Yarrowia lipolytica: one gene and its partners. The protein of the gene in region 1 purifies or fractionates together with the protein of each later gene. This does not show direct contact. Links are inferred from orthologs where the notes say so. Each region holds a gene or a part of one and is shown on either strand. Other genes may lie near its edges.

Evidence for each region. Proteins that work in one complex are often made in the same cells at the same time.
Region 2: the proteins of YALI1_D26360g (region 1) and YALI1_B13179g purify together in Saccharomyces cerevisiae (affinity purification with mass spectrometry; 3 studies listed by BioGRID). This does not show direct contact. The link is inferred for Yarrowia lipolytica from reciprocal best matches to the Saccharomyces cerevisiae genes LPD1 and PDX1.
Region 3: the proteins of YALI1_D26360g (region 1) and YALI1_E39693g purify together in Saccharomyces cerevisiae (affinity purification with mass spectrometry; 5 studies listed by BioGRID, with this or other methods). This does not show direct contact. The link is inferred for Yarrowia lipolytica from reciprocal best matches to the Saccharomyces cerevisiae genes LPD1 and KGD1.

The regions. Positions count from the first base shown.
Region 1 is NC_090773.1:2,634,108-2,638,379, forward strand, and holds YALI1_D26360g (uncharacterized protein), read right to left. Parts: upstream 2,261-4,272; coding exon 2,170-2,260; intron 1,925-2,169; coding exon 516-1,924; downstream 1-515. Other genes in the region: YALI1_D26394g (uncharacterized protein), read right to left, coding at 2,853-4,272.
Region 2 is NC_090771.1:1,316,130-1,319,508, reverse strand, and holds YALI1_B13179g (uncharacterized protein), read left to right. Parts: upstream 1-1,556; coding exon 1,557-2,852; downstream 2,853-3,379. Other genes in the region: YALI1_B13150g (uncharacterized protein), read right to left, coding at 3,220-3,379. UniProt on the Saccharomyces cerevisiae protein: Required for anchoring dihydrolipoamide dehydrogenase (E3) to the dihydrolipoamide transacetylase (E2) core of the pyruvate dehydrogenase complexes of eukaryotes. This specific binding is essential for a functional PDH complex.
Region 3 is NC_090774.1:3,967,756-3,973,661, forward strand, and holds YALI1_E39693g (uncharacterized protein), read left to right. Parts: upstream 1-1,596; coding exon 1,597-1,788; intron 1,789-2,556; coding exon 2,557-5,379; downstream 5,380-5,906. UniProt on the Saccharomyces cerevisiae protein: The 2-oxoglutarate dehydrogenase complex catalyzes the overall conversion of 2-oxoglutarate to succinyl-CoA and CO(2).

The sequences.
Region 1 (4,272 bases):
ACGGTGCGAAGAGATATCAAGTAACACCATTCATGAAAGATAATCGCAAACTCAGATCAACTGGTCTAATGATCCACTACAAGCAGCAAAGACAAACCCATTGACACTCAGACACAACACAATCATGCCTCGTTGCTTCTTCCACCTAACTGTGTCATGCTTGATCCGATATGACTGCCGTCTGTTCTACATGTACAGTAAGATACTATACACTCGTGCAGCTGGAATTCGTACTTCGCGGAGGAGTATCAGTGGAAGCACTTCTTCAGCCGTTTCTTTAGACATTCACACACCTTGATAGTGCACCCCAGATCAGCTCTTGATCCAAGAACATTTCGGCTTTACCAGTTGGCACTTTGTGATCTACGACCAAATGAAATCTACTTGTACTTGCTCTAGTTCGCCCGTCACCTACGGCCATGTACTCTACAAGTTGGCTTGCGACCTGACCTGGCCACTCGCTACCATACAGTTCAGTCATTATTATCTACTACTAAAAGCACCACTAAAAGCGCTTAAAAGTGGATGGCCTTGTCGTAAGTGGCCATGGCGGCCTCCTTGAAAGCCTCGGAGAGAGTGGGGTGGGCGTGGCAGGTTCGAGCAATGTCCTCGCAAGAAGCACCGTACTCAAGGGCAAGAACACCCTCGGCGATCATCTCACCGGCGTTGGGGCCAATGATGTGGATACCGAGAATTCGGTCAGTCTCCTTGTCAGCAATGAACTTGACGGTACCCTCGGTGTCGAGGTTGGTCTTGGCTCGAGAGTTGGCGGCAAAGGGGAACTTGCCGACGTTGTACTTGATGCCGGCCTCCTTGACCTGCTGCTCAGTCTGTCCAACCCAAGCAACCTCAGGGTGGGTGTACATGACAGAGGGGATGGCGGCGTAGTTAACGTGGCCGTGACCGGTGGCAATGTACTCAGCGGTAGCAACTCCCTCCTCCTCGGCCTTGTGGGCCAGCATGGGGCCGAAAGTGACGTCACCAATGCATCGGATGTTGGACTTGTTGGTTCGGTACTCCTGGTCGATGATGATTCGGCCCTTGTCGTCCTTCTCGACACCGGCAGCCTCGAGGTTCAAGCCCTCGGAGTAGGGTCGTCGGCCAATGGCAACGAGCAGAACGTCGGCATCAAGGGTCTCCTTGTCGCCCTTCTTGACGTTCTCGACCTCGACCTTGACACCGTCGCCCTCAATGGCACCGGAAAGCACCTTGGTGCCAAGCTTGAACTTGATACCCTGCTTGGTGAGCATCTTCTGGGCGGCCTTGGCGATCTCGTCGTCCATACCAGCGCCAATGGCGTTCTGGAACTCGACAACAGTCACCTCGGAGCCGAGTCGGGACCAGACGGAGCCCATCTCGAGACCAATGATACCTCCTCCGATGATGACCATCTTCTTGGGGACGGCCTCGAGGGCAAGGGCACCAGTGGAGGAAACAATCTTCTTCTCGTCAATGGTGATGCCGGGGAAGGGGGTGGGCTCAGAGCCGGTGGCAATGATGATGTTCTTGGCCTTGAGGGTGACGGCCTCGCCGCCATCAATGGGGTCGACCTTGACCTCGGAGTCGGACACAAAAGAACCGGCGCCCTTGTAGTAGTTGACCTTGTTCTTCTTGAACAGCATCTCGATACCGCCGGTGAGACCCTTGACGGAGGTCTCCTTGGCCTCCTGCAGCTTGGCGATGTTCATCTTGACGTCAGAGACCTCGATTCCTCGGTTGGCGGAGTCGGTTTTGATGGCGTGGTACATCTGGGAGTTGTTGAGCAGAGACTTGGAGGGGATACATCCGACGTTGAGACAGGTTCCTCCGAGGGAGCCTCGCTTCTCGATACAGCCGGTCTTGAGGCCGGCCTGGGCGGCCTTGATGGCGGCGACGTATCCACCGGGGCCACCTCCGATAACAAGGACATCAAGCTCCTCGTTTGCTGTTGTTAGTATTTGCCTTGTGTGGGGTGGCGGACGCTGGCCGGAGGGGTGCAACGGGGCGACTATGGTGCAGACAAAAGACAGTGGCACAATTCGCAATTCAAAATGTCCAATTGACACGTCTCATGTCCTTTTCTCATTGCCTCTTCCCATGGATCCTTGTGTGTCGTCGCGGCCATGGTGGTATCGCATCGGGGGAGTTTTTTCCCCGTAAAAAAGCCCTCCCTGTCGCACAGATACTCACCGGAGCTGTAGCATCGCTGGAACTGGGTCACAGCTCGGGTTCGGGCAGCAACGCCGAACTTGGAGGGAAGAATTCGAGTGGTTCGCAACATTGTCGTGTTGGAAATATGTGTGAATTTCGGAAGGGTCTGGGTGAGTTGTTAAACTATGCGTCTCTGTAGGTGCGCTCCTCGCAGCAGACTTACCCTGCTCTTGTTGGGTCCGGAACAATAGTCAAAGGCAAATGTCACATTTGAGTTCACACACTCTCCTGCCAGTACATACTGTACATACGTGCACTATGACAGGTCCGTGTTCGCGCGGAGGGTCTGAGGGCGGCGCTGGTGGCGTTTAAGAATTGGCGCACAAGATACTCACTGTGTGTGTTTGTGATCGTGGCCTATCATTGCGGAACACGCCCGTCTATATATACTCTTCTGTAGAGACACACGGACCCCGTGATGGTGCTTAGCAATCGCAGAGAGTCAAAACTGTTTAAGCCAACGGAAGCTTATTTTAGGTGAAATGCGCTAATACCCGGTTGTAGCCGTAAAAAGCGGTTGTTGGTTGGACGGGCGGAAAATGGGGTAAATGAGAGGGAAAAAATTCAACAAACAGACAGAGACGAGAAGGAATTAAAAAAATACAGTATCAATTACATCTACCTGATGGCGCGGGGGGTGCGGGGGGTGCGGGGGGCGTGTGTTAGAACAAATCACTGGCGCGCACTCGCTTTCGAGGCGGCGAAAGACCTTTCTCCGGAGTAGGAGCACGGCCCTTGTTGGGGCTTCTACAAGGACTTCTAGAAGGACTTCGAGAGGAACCTCCAGACACGCTTGGAGACCTGCTTCTAGAATAACCAACTCGTCTGACCGGAGATCTCGACCGCGAATAACTGGCGGCCCGGTAACTGCTCCGGCCTTTAGCCCCTTTAGATTTAGGTCTCGGAGATGGCGATCGGGAATAAGATCTCGAACGAGAGTATGACCGCGAAGGCGAACGGGAATAAGATCGAGACCGCCGTCGACCACGAGGCGGAGAACCGGTTCTATCCCGAGATAGAGATCTTGACCGTGACCGGGATCGTGGCCGGGATCGTGGCCGTGACCGCGAACCAGGAGACCGAGTTAGCGACCGCCTTCTACTTCCTACACCTCGTCGTCGTCGTCGCCCCCGATCATCCTCAGACACTGAGTCATAGGAGTCATAGGAGTCATAGGAGTCATAACTATCGTAGGAGTCGTAACTATCGTAGGAGTCGTAGGAGTCGTAGGAGTCGTAGGAGTCGTAGGAGTCGTATGAGTCATAACTGTCGTATGAATCGTAACTGTCGTACTCTCGCTTCTGCTCTTCCTCCTCCTTCTTCAGCCTCTCCTCCTCCTCCACCAGACCAGGAAGAATCTCCCGCATACCATCTGTCAAAGGACCAAGATTAATGGCAGTGAAATAGTTGATGGCAAACCGAACATGAGAAGCATTCGTCTTGGGGAACATACCGGCAATGTACTGCTGCACAAACGACTTGGAAAGTCGCTCCTTCAACAGATCCATTCCCAGCTCCTGACGCATCTCGGTGAACATAATCTTGAGAAAGATACGGTTCGAGGGGTTCGAGTCCTCTTCAGTCAGAGAAACAGCCTCCAAAACCTTCCACGACAGAGAATCTGATGCCAACAGGTACCCAAAGAACGTGGCAATGTTTCTGATCTGATTGGGCTCGTATCTGTGGATAACCGAGTAAAAGAACCCAAAGGTGTTCTCAAAGTTGGTTCTCCATTCCCGCGACAGTCTCAGAAGCCGCTCTCCTGTACCTCCGTAGATTTTGTTATAAATCTTCTCTTGAGCACAACACTCCACAAGCATGTTCGTCACCTCCTGGGTCCGCTTGAGACGCAGAATCAGAGCCTGGTCTTCGGGGAGACCCTCAGGGATCTCAATAACCGTTCGAGACAGCTTGACAAGCTTGTGAACGATTTCGTCGATCGACATGGTCGACATGACCGTCAGATAAATTTTCTTTCGCAACGTAGCAAGCTCTGTACCCGTGAGGTCTCGCACAGCCGAGGTAGAGGCTTGAGCCTCCTCCTCTTCATCCTCCTCCTCCTCCTCTTCATCATCTGCCTCT
Region 2 (3,379 bases), on another chromosome or scaffold:
TCTTGAGGCATTCGGCAGTAGCAAGGGTAGACATAATAGTATCATTTAATCAGCTTGCGATTTCGAATTGGTTTCTTGTATCATTTACCTCGAATTTTCGAAATAAAAGTGTCAGAGACAAGCGCTGTCGTTTCTCAGGGGCTATACATAGACATACTACCAGTACGTATGTCGGGAAGTCCCACAAGTGTGAATCAATTCCAGGCTACATAGGCCGATTTGGTGAGTTGATTCAACAAGCCTGATCTTTCCAAGCAACTCTTTAGCGGCAAAATCGTCGTTATTCTGCCGCAAGTTTTTCTTTTTTTTTTTTTTTTTTTTTTTTTTTTTTTCAAAACTTTTCAAATTTTTATTTTTTCATATTGAGCAGTTGTCACACGCATGTAGATGTCACACAGCATGCACCAGTAACAGTGGAAGAACCTTGTAGCTACTCATTGGTCCACAGCTTCTTTGTTAAGTCTGTTCTATCATACTTGATCTTCTCCTTTGATCGGTGGTCCAGCTTGCTAATTTCTTCAATTCTTCAAGTCTCATTTTTTTAATTTTTTTTATAATAAATCATCAAATAAATCTCTTTCGACCCCCACTCCCAACAAGATGCTAGACCGGAAAATTAGTCGAGGGTTAGGGTGCGTTGTTTTTCCGTCCCAACAGAATGTCGAGACCAACGTCAGTTGTCCGAACGTAATAACGACACCTTTGAGGCACACAATGAACCGACTGTTGAGAGTTATTCCCCGGGCCCGACGTGAGTATTGCTGGCAGCGACGAGTCACATACAGATGGATGTTTTCCACATCGTGACTGCCGTTCAATTGCTCCCCTTGAGTGCATTATTAGTGACATGTGTGATGCTGGGCGGGAGTCGAAGAAGGAGACACAGAAGGAGGAGACGGAGATACAGAGTAGATTGTGGTTCACGTGGCCGTGTGATTGCGAGCAGGCCGTCTCGTTTCCAACAGCTTTCGTTTCTCTACTACACTGTTGCCATTTGTTGCTATTCGTTGCATACAGTACGCAGATATTGGACACTGAAGGAGATCAGCAATGCAGAATGGAGATGGGTGAGGACAAGAGAAAAGGGAGTGCGTTAGATGAGGTTGATTGATCGGTTTGGTTTGTTGTGGTGATTTTTGATTCTCTTGTCGGCAAGTGCATCTTCTTGGGGTTATGGGTATCCACATTCAATATCTGACGGGTTGAGTCTACATTGAGACATCTATGATGGTTGATACAGATGGTGTTATTATGAGGGTGATTTGAGGGTTGACATTTTGTGCCAGTGAATATCGACCGTTGCACAGGTTCCGTGTTTCTCGATGTCGTCACTCTCCGATCTGATCTCTGATCCACCCCTGATGACTTCCACTAATATGGAACAAATTACACCCATTCCACTTCTGTCCTCTTGTGAAATACTTGCAATTGAGTGGTACAAGTGACATTACTCTGCTCTCTTCGGTTTTTTCTTCTGGCTCTTGAATTTCGGCATTTAATCATATCTGAGACGCTGAACCGGGACTTTGCTGTGTGTTAAACTGTGAGGTTTACACATGCTATTATCCTTTCCTGACCTAGCTGCGGCTAGTCGTTTCCGTGTATTGGTTCCGTTGTTGTCCGATCGGACCCACAGCCGTCATTTTACTAACCCAGTGCTCCACACCACCCCTCGCCTCTATCAGGCCAGCAACTTTGCCATGCCAGCCATGAGTCCCACCATGACCGAGGGAGGCATTGTGTCGTGGAAGGTCAAGGAGGGCGACGAGTTTTCAGCTGGTGATGTCATCCTTGAGATCGAAACCGACAAGGCCCAGATCGACGTCGAGGCTGCTGACGATGGAGTCATGGCCAAGATCTACAAGAAGGACGGTGACAAGGACATTCAGGTCGGAGACACCATTGCTGTGATTGCTGAGCCCGGAGATGACATCAAAACCATTGATATTCCTGCTCCTGTCGAGTCGGACGGCAAGCCTGCTCCCAAGGAGGAGGCCAAGGAGGAGGTCAAGGAGGCCCCTAAGGAGGAGGCTAAGGCCCCTGCCCCTAAGGCTCCTTCTACCCCCAAGGAGGCTCCCAAGACCGAATCGTCTTCTGCTCCCTCATCATCCGGCTACTCTGCCCCCGCTAACCCCGCACAGACCCTTCTCCCTTCGGTGTCCTCGCTTCTTGTGGCCAATGGCATCTCCAAGGAGGACGCCTTTGCCAAGATCAAGGCCACCGGTCCCCACGGCCGGCTTCTCAAGGGCGACATTCTCGCCTACCTCGGAAAGGTCCCTGAGGGCTCTCCTGGCGCTGTTGCCGACGAGATTAACAAGCGATCCCATCTCGACTTGTCCAACATCAAGCCCGCCAAGAAGAGCGATGCTGCTGCTCCCACTGGGGCTGCCAAGGCTGGAGATGCTGCTGCTCCTGCTACCAAGGCTGCTCCCGAGCCTGTCATCTTCACCTCGTTCCTCGATGTGGCCCACTTTGAGCCCGAGGACCAGCTCGAGCTGCAGCGAATCGTCAAGCAGGCCATCAAGCTGGCCAAATACGACGCCGTGGAGCTCGCAAAGCCCCGCCGATCCGCCAACGTGGACCCCGACTTTGAGGCTATCATCGGCCCCGCCAAGGGCACCAAGTTCTACGACGTGAACGTCATCTACCCCAAGTCCACAAAGCGGGCTCTCTCCAATGGGGCCGACCTGTATGACATTCTGTCGGACCGAAAGCCCCGAAAGGCTGCTGTCCAGGTGCCTTCCAACACTGTGCAGGTCGATGTAACAGTCAACGACAAGGTCCCCGGTGCCGAGAAGCGAGCCAAGCTTTTCTTGAACAGACTGGAGTATCATTTGACTGTGGAGGAGTAGGAGAGACAATGTCGAGCATAAGATGATACAGCACATAGAGTGTGCTATACAGTATAACGAAGGATATATATAGGTAGGGTAAACATGTGAATGGTGGTGAAGAGCATTTGCTAAGGGGTGCTCTTATTGTAGCGTTCCTTGATGGTATGACTGTAACTCAGTAATTCAGGTCAACTACATATGTACAGTATGTATGTAGTATTGTTCTTACATGATACATTCGTAGTAAGGGTATTCGTTTTCAATTTTACAGAGCATTCCCTTAGCTCGTGCTACAAGTGCGTTGGGTAAGGATGATTTGCTACGCCTCATGATCTTCGCTCCCCTCGTGCTCTTCGGTTAATCAGTTACTATATACACAACAAGATTATTGCTTCTTCTTGTTCTTCAACTTCTGCTTATGCTTCTGTTGCCAGGTCAACTTTGTCTGGGGCTCTTCAAGCGCCTTCTTTTTGTCCTCCTTTCGCTTCTCCTTAATGTCCTCCACAAGCCCGACGGTGTTAGCCTTGAGGGTGTTGAAGTCGCGC
Region 3 (5,906 bases), on another chromosome or scaffold:
TGTGATCGTACATGATGGAAGTGTGCTATTCAGAGCCTCAGAGCCGAAGAGAGTTTCTATCGAAGCACAGACAGCTGTTAACTGAAATCGGGTAATAAGGAGTCGAAAATAGTGTGTTTGAAATGTTGAATTTCTGACATCTGGGGTAAATAACAATAATAACAACCGGAAATACTGTTGACTAATGACGGTAAGTTTTTTGGAGAAATTGTTTCCGAGGGGATAACGTCCGTTTGAGGGATATTTTCGGATCTCCTACAAGTACTTGGTCCAGTTGTGCAGTGCTCATTTAAAATACGAACAAAATTACTGCCGTTATCTCCGCTGCAGTATGTACTCGTAGTAACGCTATAAAAAACTTATAGCAACGTACTGTAGTGTGAAAATAGCAGGGGGACAGGTCAATTGCTCCCCCCCCGTAGAATATGTAGCTAATGCCACCGTCTACTTGTGGCTAAAAGATCGTTGGGTGTAGTTTGTCGTCAACTGGTCCCCCCGCATCTTTCCGAAATTCTATCCTCAAAGCTATCTTGCATGTACGTGTCATCTGTCCACGGGTGATCATAGTTCTCTTCTAACGAGTCTGTCTCAAAATCACGTATTACTCTCTTCGCACTATAGCAAACCTCGGAATAGCAACTACAGGATGGGATACAGATTTCACCGTAGAAGAGTCCCAAAAACCCGACGATACTCCACCTAACCGCCCCCCCTTACAGCCTGGACGAGTTTTAATATTCCCTTTTAGCTGTAGCCAAGCCTCTGGTTGGGGCATAGACTGCATAGTTCCGAACTTCTCCGCATCACGTGACCAGAAACTCCCACATCTCAACTTACATATCTTACATTGTCCTTACTGGTCGGGCCAAAGAGAACACCGCTGCGCTTCCATGCTGCGTGCCGTTACATCCCATGATACAAAGCCGTGCTGCAATACACTTGTACAAGATAATCCTTCGCCGCACAATTGCATTGCACAACTGTGGGGTAGCACCTGGTAACACAATCCACACCGTGGGCGTTATCTTTCCCATCGCACACGCGTTGGTACTCTTCCTAAACCACCTGAAATACACAAAGCTGGCCAATGGCTATCTCCGCAACTTGCTCTATAGTATAGTTATGGGCGCAACCTTGTTACCATGTTTGAAGGAGACACACTGCCATTGCATAACAGGGAGTGAAGCAAAGTCGGCGGAAACCGTCGGAATATCGCCAAGTGGGGCTCGGGAGAAGGCTAGAGGGGTCAGTTAGACAGCTATGCCCTCACAGCGCTCAACGGGTCTGGTCCGGAAAATTCTGCAGAGTTATCCCGGGTGCTGGCCGCTGGAAAAATAGAGTTTCACAAGAAACTGTAAAACTGGGGCCGGTTCTTCCGGTTTATATAAATATTTGACGCTCTCCACAACTTACCCCATAACGAGTTAACGTGAGTAGTACAATGGGTGTACTTACGGTCGAAACGATACCTGCGGAGACGGCCAATTACGACATTTGTGGCCGCTGGAGTGGAATTGATGGAAAAAATCGCTTGCGATTCGTTTGTTTCGATTTGAGAGGGTCTGGAACCCATGATTAAATCCCGCTAACAAATAGATGCTCAGACACGCTTTATTGAAAAGGACCCCCGTCCTCCCGCGACTCACAAGTCGCAAGGCCTTCGTGCCATTGATCCAGAAACGAAAGTACTCTGATGACGTCTTCCTTACCACCAACGCCGCAAACTACATCGATGAGATGTATGCCGCATGGAAGGACGACCCCAAGAGTGTCCACGTCTCTTGGCAGGTGAGTGATAGTGGAGGAATCGGAAGCTGATGGCTTGTACTACGACTTGTGATGGTTATTTTTGGTTGTTTTGGTGGACATTCGACACTTGGCGTGTGAAGTGATGGAGTTGGGCCCAAGGTCATGGAGGCAAGTGGCTTATTTGCAACCGAACTGTATCACGGATACAGTGAGAGTGTACAGATAAGTCGTTTTGTTGACACGACACCTACGAATGGTTGACCCCTTCCTCCTTGCTCCAGAATGCACTAGCTAGCACAATTGAGAGACCTGCTGTTGCATTTTTCTGCGCCTGCCTGTAGCAATTTGTATGTCTCTCGATTGGCTCAGTACCTCTGCATCTCTGCACACTAGACCTGCCCTTCGTTTGCGGTTGCCACCACTAGACTCAGGGTGTCTTCCCGCATTGGGAGTTACGGGTTGAGCCGGAGCATGGAAAAACGTGCATGCAGGACGCAGAATTGTTGGTCGGAACGGACTAACAGGTGTATGCGCCGAGAGAGATCCCGGCGTGTGTGATTAGTAAAGGTTCTGGACGTGTTTTTGACATACCCCACCTGACTATTCCTCAATTGTCCATTCCTGGGCTTTTTGGATTTTAGTTTCATTACTTTTTGCACATGCTTGGTGTTTATCTCTAACTCCTGCCCCAGCAAGTCCCAACTGCACCTTAATTTAGGCCTCCCTGACTTAACTAAATCCCAACTAAACCTACCCAGCAAATGTATCAACCAGAAGCACGGCCGCAATTGACCTATACTAACTCAGTCTTACTTCAAGAACCTGGATGGTGGCCTTCCTGCCGACAAGGCATTCTCTGCCCCTCCCACTATTGTGCCCTCTCCCTCTGGAGGTGTTCCCACCCCCGCTGCCCCCTCCGGCGCTCCTTCTGACATCACCAACCACATGAAGGCCCAGCTGCTGGTTCGAGCCTACCAGGTCCGAGGTCACACCAAGGCCAAGATTGATCCTCTTGGAATCTCCTTTGGCTCCGACAAGAACAAGAAGCCCCCTAAGGAGCTGACCCTCGAGTTCTACGGATGGACCGACAAGGATCTCGACACCGAGATCACTCTCGGCCCCGGTATCCTCCCCCGATTCGTCGAGAACGGTAAGAACAGGCGAACTCTCCGTGAGATTATCATGGACTGTGAACGAATCTACTGTGGCTCCTACGGTGTTGAGTACATCCATATTCCCTCTCGAGAGGAGTGTGAGTGGATCCGAGACCGAGTCGAGACCCCCAAGCCTTACAACTACACCCCTGACCAGAAGCGACGAATGCTCGACCGACTTATCTGGGCTAACCTCTTCGAGACCTTCCTTGCCTCCAAGTTCCCCAACGACAAGCGATTCGGTCTTGAGGGTGCCGAGACTGTCGTTGTCGGTATGAAGACTCTGATCGACCGATCCGTCGATGCCGGAATCGAGGACATTGTTATCGGTATGCCCCATCGAGGTCGACTCAACATGCTTTCCAACGTTGTGCGAAAGCCCAACGAGTCCATTTTCGCTGAGTTCCAGGGATCTGCTGTCTTCGACGAGGGTTCTGGAGATGTCAAGTACCATCTGGGTGCCAACTACCAGCGACCCACCCCCTCTGGAAAGAAGGTCAACCTCTCTCTTGTCGCTAACCCCTCACATCTTGAGGCTGAGGACCCCGTTGTCCTGGGTAAGACCCGAGCTATCCAGCACATGAAGCATGACGTCGGCACCTTCGACAAGGCCATGGGTGTGCTCATGCACGGTGACGCTGCCTTTGCCGGCCAGGGTGTTGTCTACGAGACCATGGGCATGCACTCTCTGCCTGCCTACTCTACCGGTGGAACCATCCACATCATCGTTAACAACCAGATTGGTTTCACCACCGATCCTCGATTCTCCCGATCTACCCCCTACCCCTCCGATCTGGCTAAATCCATCGATGCCCCCATCTTCCACGTCAACGCTGACGATATGGAGGCCGTCGACTTCATCTTCAACCTGGCTGCTGACTGGCGAGCTACCTTCAAGTCCGATGTCATCATCGATCTTGTCTGCTACCGAAAGTTCGGTCACAACGAGACCGATCAGCCCTCGTTCACTCAGCCTCTCATGTACAAGAAGATTGCCGACAAGCCCAACCCTCTTGACATCTATGTCGACAAGCTTCTCAAGGAGAAGACTTTTACCAAGGAGGACATTGAGGAGCACAAGCAGTGGGTCTGGGGAATGCTCGAGGAGTCTTTCAAGAAGTCCAAGGACTACGTGCCCCATCAGAAGGAGTGGCTCGCTTCTCCTTGGGACGACTTCAAGACCCCCAAGGAGCTTGCCACCGAGATCCTGCCCCATCTCCCCACATCTGTTGAGGAGAAGAAGCTCAAGGAGATTGGAAAGGTCATCTCCTCTGTTCCGGAGGGATTCACCCTTCACCGAAACCTCAAGCGAATCTTGTCCAACCGAGGCAAGTCCGTTGAGGAGGGCCATGGCATTGACTGGTCCACTGGTGAGGCTCTTGCCTTCGGTACTCTGCTTGAGGAGGGCCACCACGTCCGACTTTCCGGTCAGGATGTCGAGCGAGGTACCTTCTCTCAGCGACACGCTGTTGTCCACGACCAGGTTAACGAGACCACATATGTTCCTCTGAACCACCTGACCAAGGATCAGGCCGACTTCACCGTCTCCAACTCCCATCTTTCCGAGTACGGTGTCATGGGCTTTGAGTACGGTTACTCCCTGGCTTCTCCTGAGGCCCTTGTCATCTGGGAGGCTCAGTTTGGTGACTTCGCCAACACTGCCCAGGTCATCATTGATCAGTTCATTGCCTCCGCCGAGACCAAGTGGTCTCAGCGATCCGGCTTGGTTCTGTCTCTGCCCCACGGATACGATGGACAGGGTCCCGAGCATTCTTCCGGACGAATTGAGCGATACCTGCTGCTCGGAAACGAGGATCCTCTCCACTTCCCCTCTCCCGATAAGCTTGAGCGACAGCACCAGGACTGCAACATCCAGATTGCTTACCCCACTACCCCCGCCAACATCTTCCATCTGTACCGACGACAGATGCACCGAGCTTTCCGAAAGCCTCTGGCCTGCTTCTTCTCTAAGAACCTGCTGCGAAACCCCATGGCCAAGTCCGACCTCTCTGAGTTTGTTGGTGAGTCTCACTTCCAGTGGGTCATTGAGGACGACCAGCATGGCAAGACCATCAACAACAAGGAGGGCATCGAGCGAGTTCTCTTCTGTTCCGGCCAGGTCTGGACTGCTCTCTTCAAGCGACGAGAGGATCTTGCTGACAAGAAGACTGCTATCATCCGAATCGAGCAGCTGCACCCCTTCCCTTGGGAGCAGGTCCGAGAGCTTCTGGACTCTTACCCCAACCTTAAGGATATCTGCTGGGCTCAGGAGGAGCCTCTTAACGCTGGTGCCTGGGTCCACATCCAGCCTCGAATGTACACCACCTTCCAGGCTACCAAGAACCACAAGCATGCCCACATTAGATACGCTGGCCGAAAGCCTTCTGCATCTGTTGCTGCCGGTACTAAGAAGCTGCATCTTGCTGAGGAGGAGGCTCTTCTGAAGCAGGCTTTCCAGCAGGAGGATAAGGCCTAAGTGGTCTGTTCACCCTTATGAATGTCATTTAATTGTATATGAAACGCTTGTTGAAGTGTATGAACTGAGAACAAAAAGTATGTATTATTGTAGCGAGTGACTTCGGTGTATTCAGCCCATTTTGTAACGGAACAGAGGAGATATATTGTACAATAAATGTGAAATATAGGACTGGAGAGACAAGAGGTTGTAGACTATGAGAAACTGCGAAAAGCCAGAGCCATATTAGCAGCTACAAGCAATGTCGCTGTCGATGTAGCCCATGTTTACCATGACTGTAATATAAACAGTAAATTCGACTGGTATCGGTACCAGTAAGCAGACTACTGTAACAATAGAGCGTACGTTTACCATAGGTAATCCTACTGTGTAGACTTTGGAGAGTGGTTAATTGGAGCAGACATTATCTACAGCTAAAAACACAGCTACAAGTAGCTCTGACAATGCTCGGGTCTTCCCATGGGGCTGTACCTATGAGACTAGCCCTTGAAACAGGAGAAGTAATTAAACCATAAGCCAGAAAATTG